Danio rerio: one gene and its partner. The protein of the gene in region 2 interacts with the protein of the main gene of each other region in a pairwise test. Links are inferred from orthologs where the notes say so. Each region holds a gene or a part of one and is shown on either strand. Other genes may lie near its edges.

Region 1 (3,757 bases), on a different chromosome or scaffold from region 2:
ACAAAAACATAAAGCAGAAAGGATGCGTTCAACATTTAGCATAATGAAAACTATTATTATTGACTGAGCATGAACATTAATTGTAAATAAGCTTTATAAAAATAAGTGGAGTAACAGTGCTTAAAAATCTTTAATTCACTAAAATACCTCTTTAAAATTAAATAATATTTACTGTTTTTTTGCATTTCTAAACGAATAACACCTCATACTACCTCTGTAGTTACCTCATGCTACCTCCTTAATATTAAGACAGTGTCACTTTATCATATATCATATTTTTGCACTATATACTGTTTTGCATCTGCACAACTCCTGGTTTGCACTCCTTATCATGTGCCCTTAATTGAATTGTTTACAAATCTTAATTTTCACGTATATCTTTACATTATTTTATATGTGTAACATTAATTGTATTTATTGTAATTTCTATTTTAAAATGTAACTTTTTGTATCAATAATATCTGTTAGTCACCTAGGGTCTGAGAGTAACACAATTTTCAATGTATGTCCTGTAAGGGCAGCATAGTGGCGTAGTGTGTAGCACCGCAAGATGGTCGGTGGTTCGAGCCCCGGCTGGGTCAGTTGGCGTTTCCATGTGGAGTTTGTGTGGGTTTCCTGCGGGTGCTCCGTTTCCCCCACAAGTCCAAAGACATGTGGAATAGGTGACTTGTCCGTGGTGTATGTGTGTGAATGGATGTTTCCAGTGATGGGTTGCAGCTGGAAAGGCATTTGCTGCATAAAACATATGCTGGATAAGCTGATGGATAAGCTGGCGGTTCATTCCCCTGTGGGACTAAGCGAATGAACGAATGTATGTCCTGCACATGTGCTTGAATTGACAATAAAGTTGACTTTGACTTGCAGCCTCTGTGATGAGAAGATACTTCTTTCATTAACAACGAAAATGTTTCCAGAATGTTCACTGGTTCTGTTATTGATTCTTTCTCATTGTTTCTTTCCAACACGACAGTCTACTGATTACATAAAGCAGTGAAACATCGTGTGAAAGAACCACCGCGCAAATGTTTGCTGTTTACTTCACTACAGCCACTCACGCAATTACTACATATTCCGGCAACTCTTACATAAACCGCAGGAGCTACTCTCTGATTGGCTGAGGAGAGTGTCAATCAAACTTCCTTCACCCAATAGTCTCATTACTCGCTCTCAAACTATGGCGGCCATGTTGTATCCGCGGGGGATTGGAGGAGGCTACTCGGAACCGAGTCCGTGTTCAGTCGGGAGTGGACGGTGAGGCTCTCGGGCTTCAGCTACTCGGGGTTTTACACCATCAAACATCGACCGACACTCCTCGCCATGAGCCGTCCGTCCTCTGCGGGTGGAGCGGCCGGAGGACTCGGAGCTGGAAAAGCAGGAGGAAGTAAGCATGGAGGTTCTGGAGGAACAACTGCCTCTGCTGCCGCCGCCGCCGCTGCTGCCGCGGCCGCCGCAGCAGCTGCAGCCGCCGCGGGGGTGTCCGGCTCCGTCGCGGGTTCTGGTACGGTTCCCGCAGCAGCTGTAGCGCTTCCAGTCGCGGCTCTTCCGGGACAGTCCCCCGAGCTGACAGCGCTGTTTGAGTGCCCGGTGTGTTTCGACTATGTGCTGCCGCCGATCCTGCAGTGCCAGGCTGGGCATCTGGTGTGTAACCAGTGTCGGCAAAAGCTCAGCTGCTGCCCGACCTGTCGCGGCCCTCTCACGCCGAGCATACGGAACTTGGCAATGGAAAAAGTTGCATCTACTCTGCCGTTTCCGTGTAAGGTAAGAATTGCGCGTTCACGACTGTCATAATAACCAATGCAAAGTCGCCTGCAGTATTGTTTCAGTCAGCACTGCATGATGGCACGCATGAGTTTAGGAAGTGTAACTAAAACTCGAGATGCCACAGGTGCATTGGCTATCATATCAGATCAGTGTTTTTGTTTATGCTGCTGAAGTGTGTTTTTTCATTGGTTGAATATTATAGTCGGTCACTTAGGTAGTTAAATTGAGTTTTTAGTTGGATGAAATAACCGAAATTGAGAGACTTTAGTAATTTAGTGGCTTCAATATTGCTTCAACCAATGGCATCAGTTAGGAGGCGGGGCTTTGACTGTATCCAACCAATGGCTGGCTAAGGAGGCGTTGTGTATCGGGGAGACCTGTTTGAGAACAAACATTTTGTAATTTAGATGGTTGATGTTGAGGGCACATGTCTAAAAATTGAGACTGACATGGCTTAATCATGAAAACTAGTCCAATTTTATGATACTTTTGTTTTTTTATTTTATTTTTATGTTATTAATTATACTATAAAAAACTTTTGATCTACTTGAAGTGCTGTATATTGTAGATATCAGTCCATTTAATATAATGCAAGCTAAATTGACTGTCAAAGTTGAATTAAGGACAGCAACTACATTTTCTCTCAGTTGACTTGTCGTATTAGTAAATACTATTTGTTAGAAATGGCTATGCAATTTATCACACATATTTAAACCTTTTAAATCTTTTTATCCATTTTCTTAATTTTGTGAATCAAATTATTTTTGTTTTCGAGTTTGTTGTTACTTCCTTAATTATTTTATAATAGAATGCTGAACTTACCACATGTTGTGTGACAGTTGATGTGTAATAATAATCATGCTTAAAATAAAAATACAGAAAGCTTGATTTAATTGCATAAACTCAAACTCGTTTGTGCATTAATGCAATCACATATGAAATAATTTTTCTTTGTCACACTAACATCTCAATTTCAAGTAATACTTTTCTTTTGTGATTTATTCAGTCTATTGGCTAAATTGCAAATTACGCTGGATCACAAGTGGCTTTTTTACTGAATTTTCACCAAATCTCTGCAGTTGTTTAGTATGAAACTGACACGGACAGTTCACCCGAAAATGAAAATTCTGCCATCATTTACTCAGTTTGAGTTTTGTTGTTCTGTTGAACACAAAAGAAGATATTTTGAAGACTGTTGTAAATCATTGACTTCCATAATATCACATTTTCCTTCTATGAATTTCAATGGTTACTAGTTTCCAAAAGTTATCAACAGAAGAACAAAAAACAGGTTTGGAAGTCAAGGGTCATTAAATGATAGCAGAATTTTTTGTTTTTTTGGGTTGCACTATCCCTTGAATTAACCTCATTCATTCACAATTACACATCTAATTCTGAATCTAGAAATCTGACAAGAAACAAACATGACTTGATTTTCGAAATCTCACATTTTAGCAGCCCAGTTACTGAAACCATTGATTTGGTTCAGATGTTAGAAATCTTGTTTAGTATACCCACTACCAGAATAACTTTTTGTTGAATCTGAATTCACCCTAGATTAGTTCTAGCTCTCCACAGTTTTGAAAGTTTTCTTTTTATTGTGATTGACCTGAAACCCTTTTATTGCATCATCAGTGCATTAAAGTTGTATCCTCTGTTATCGCTGGCCTGTGAAAGTTGATCACTACTCTTGTTCCCTGGGCTAATGTTTCCTCCTTACAGTGGCTGTAATCAGGACGTGGCGACTGGTACTTGATGTAGAGCAGTTTCTAAAGTGATACCAGCCGTCAGCGAAGGAAAGTAGCCTTCAACGTTTGTGGTGAAAGTAAAGCTGCATCTGCTGCTTGTTTTTAAAAGGGCTTTGTCTGTTCTTCAATGGTCAGCTATAGCAGCATTAAAATGTATGTGTGTTTGTGGATGTATGTGAATTGTGTAATTCTGGAATTGTGCCATGTGCTAAACTAAACAGGTTTCTGACACCATTACCTCTTAACAT
Region 2 (3,657 bases):
GACATCCAACTAGGGCTGTGAGATTTGGGGAAAATATATAATTTATTTATATATTTATATATATTTTTTGTCAGATATTGTGATTTTGATTAGATTTGTGATTTAATTTTGTTGTCAAGCTTCAGCTCAATAATCTGTATCATAGTTTCTTACTGCTAAAATGCAGTGTTCATCAAAAAAAGGAACTGAAAAGATATTAACTTACTTAAATATTTATTCCAATTTTTTTTTCAAGTATTCAGAAAGAGTAAGCTGTAAACACGAATAAAATAACCTTATCGTTCTATAAACAAGTTGAACTTAAATTAGGGAGATAGTATAGCTTATTATACACTGTCAAGCGATAAGTGTCACTGGCATTACTTTCAGTTGACTTTTCAGCAAGACACTCCTCATATCACCTCAAAGCCTGTGGTGCTTTTTTAGTTGCTGGTTGTTGTATTTCCTCGTGCTGTGGCAACAATTCTATGACAGCTCCTACAAATGACCTGTTTTTGTTTGGTGTCTGTGACTTTAAAATCTAAATATTTCCATATTACCGATGTCCTGTTTTTGTTTGATATTCGTCTATTAAAGCTTCTGAAGCGGCAAACACCATCATTCCACTTGTCCGCATTTTTTGTCTGCATTTGTTTTTTTGTTTTTTTTATTGTGGTTGCTCCGCACTTCTGATTGGGTAGAACGAAAGTGTGCTCACTCAATTGGCTAGTAAGACTATGACACACTGATGGCAGCAGTCACGCATTTTCTCTGGGAGGGAGAAATGAAATAATATACATATATATTTCATATCACAGCCTCTAGTGATTAGCTAATTGCAGCGTTTCAAATTGTGATTTGATTTCAATTAATCGCACAGCCCTACATCCAACGTATGTGGTCAATTGTTTGGTCTCCGTTGCACTTACAAATTATTTACACACCACTTACTTTTGAATAATGGAAGGAGTGAGAATAAGAAAATAAAGAGCAGTTTATATGGCATTAAATTGGGTTTGTAAGTGACATAAACTTGTGTCACAAAGTGAAAAAAGCGTTCTATTCTGACTGACACACTCCTAAAGCAAATGTTCAGGAAGCCACTTTGTAGACAGCGTACACTCATGAGTTAGATATGCATATGATGTTAAATATAAGCTGTGGAAAAAAGCTCACCCGCTGACATACTAAACTTGAAGCAAATGCACAGAAAACCACACCTTGTACACATGCAATTGCAAGTCAAGATATTGTGTGTGTGTGTGTGTGTGTGCGTGTGTGTGTGCGTGCGTGTGTGTGTGTGTGTGCGTGTGTGTGTGTGTGCGTGTGCGTGTTTGTGTGCGTGTGCGTGTGTGTGTGTGTGTGTGTGTGAAAAAATCTTATTTTTGTGTGTCTAATTTATATTTTTATATGGTGAAATTAATATATGATTGTCAAATGCCCATCACATAAATTATCACATAAAAATGTCTCAAATTTATTGGATCTGTGCATTTGGCCGCAAAATCACAGTATATAATAAGCTTGTCTGTGTTAATAATGTTAATCAAATACTGTAATAGAAGACAAAACAGAAGACTAAGGGAAGATCAGACTTTGCGTTTGCATTTTTATTAAAAATTAGGTCATAATTAGTGTTTTTACTAGGAATGCTCTGATCAGAATTTTTTGCAGCTGATAAAGAGTAGCAATTCCTTGTTATGGATGAACGGCCGATACACTTACATTTAAACGTTTATTATAATAAGTTGTATAAAAAATTATCGAGTTAAAAATAATTAGTTTTTTTATTTTTTCTAATATTTCCAGCTAACTTTTAATGAACTTGCAATATTGTTCAAAACACTGTACTTTCAGTTCTTGTATGTAAAAAGATTTAACGTCTAATATGTCCTCTGCTTGTAAACTCATAAACCAACACTTTTGATCGGTTCATGAGATCGGCCAGATTACCAATCACGTAATGAAATGTAAATATCGGTCGATACCAATCTCTTGCTGATTGATCGGAGCATCCCTATTTATTACACATTTATTTTTACATTTCGTTTATTTGCTGTAGGAAATTCTAAAATGTCAAACCTACTGCTGCTGAAAAAAACCCTGTTCATTTACTTGATGTCTTTTTGTTTTAGTTTATATGTCACATTGTTATTTTCTTAGTACCAACAATCTGAGACAATTAGCACAATACATAACCATAAAATAAAATTTTACAGAACATGAAATTACATTTTGGGTCTTAACAGTTTTTCAAAACACCATTTAACACTGACTTCAACATTCCTTTCAGAGAAAACCATTCTAAAGCCTACATTCACCTCATCAGAAACAGCTTTCAGTTGGCAATAGCTGATGCAACTGTTGGTTTGGCAAATGTTCATGAGCGTATTGTTTGTTTAGCGTCGATGTGCCAGCCTGTTTCTAAGGCTGTGTCCGGTCTGCTGAGCTTGTTTGCTTCTGCAGTGCTGAAGTGCTGTAATCTAAGCCTGTGAGTCTCAGCTTCAATGAAGAAGGGCTTTGTCAAGGTCAGTGGAGTGGTTCTACCCAGCACATGCATGAGAAGACTTCACTTATGCTCCTTTTTATTTACACGATGCCCTCATTGGCCTCTCCACATACATTCGATACGAACACGCCATTGTCTTCTTCTCGTCGAAGTGTTGCATTTCATCTCTGCAAGAGCAGTGGACCACCCCTGCACGAACAGTAGGAGTCTATCTATGTAGTGCTGATTCCCCATCCTGCAAAGAAGCCTCATGGGATACTGGCGGAGAGGAGATGACATCATGTGAAATAAAAGCCCAGCTGTGGGGCGTTGCAATTTGGTGGTGACCTTTTAGATCTGCGTGTCACAGTGAGAGAGAGTAAAGTGACGGGACTAGCTGTCACTTGACCCTGCAGCTCGATCCTTCGAGATAAACACACACTCTTTCTTTCTCGGTCTTTCCTGATCTCTAACATGCACCTGCGTTTAATTCAGTAGCAGAGAAATTTGAAATCGAAAGCAGCTTGGCTTTCTGCTATGATCGGCTGAGGGATTTTGTGGTGTTATCATGAAATCAGGTTTGTTGTAAAATCATAGAAAAACACAGCTAATTGTATTCATTGGTATTAGTTTCTCACTGTGTTTGAGACCAGTGTAATCACTGTGTATGTTCTTTTCTCTGTGTAGACTTGTTTCTGGACTGGAAGCAGAATGCATACGAGGTGATAGTGAGGCTGAACTGTGGAGGTGCTGGGGTGCTGAGAGTAGAAGATATCGAGTATGACTTTTCAAATTCCGCCTGCCACATCCGGCTGCCAGGTAAGGGCATTGTGTGTTTGGGTCCCTCTTTTTTGGCTTTATCATTAATCAAATGTTTGGACCAGATTTAAATAGAATAAATAAAGGGATATTTCACCTAAGACTGAAAATTCTGTCTTAATTTACTCACCCTTTACTTGTTTCAAACCTGTTTGACTTTTTTTTTTTAGTAAACACAACTATTGACATCCATAGTTTTTTTCCCCTTGCTATAGAAGGCAGTATCTGCAGGTTTTTAGCTTTCTTCAAAATATCTTTTGTAGTTTTCAACTGAAAAAAGAAACCCGTAATCGGGTTGGGCGATGTTGACCAATTTGGCATCGTACGGTGTCTAATGTGAAACATCGCGATGGACGATGCCATCGTCCTCA

What was found. The genes of interacting proteins can lie anywhere in the genome.
Region 1: the proteins of usp19 (region 2) and siah2l interact in a two-hybrid assay, tested with the Homo sapiens proteins (2 studies listed by BioGRID). The link is inferred for Danio rerio from reciprocal best matches to the Homo sapiens genes USP19 and SIAH2.

What each region holds. Positions count from the first base shown.
Region 1 is NC_133196.1:42,020,455-42,024,211, reverse strand, and holds the start of siah2l (E3 ubiquitin-protein ligase Siah2), read left to right. Parts: upstream 1-1,172; 5' UTR 1,173-1,317; coding exon 1,318-1,758; exon of another isoform or gene 1,759-1,760; intron 1,761-3,757. UniProt on the Homo sapiens protein: E3 ubiquitin-protein ligase that mediates ubiquitination and subsequent proteasomal degradation of target proteins.
Region 2 is NC_133198.1:23,074,966-23,078,622, reverse strand, and holds part of usp19 (ubiquitin carboxyl-terminal hydrolase 19), read left to right. Parts: intron 1-3,154; coding exon 3,155-3,286; intron 3,287-3,657. UniProt on the Homo sapiens protein: Deubiquitinating enzyme that regulates the degradation of various proteins by removing ubiquitin moieties, thereby preventing their proteasomal degradation. Stabilizes RNF123, which promotes CDKN1B degradation and contributes to cell proliferation.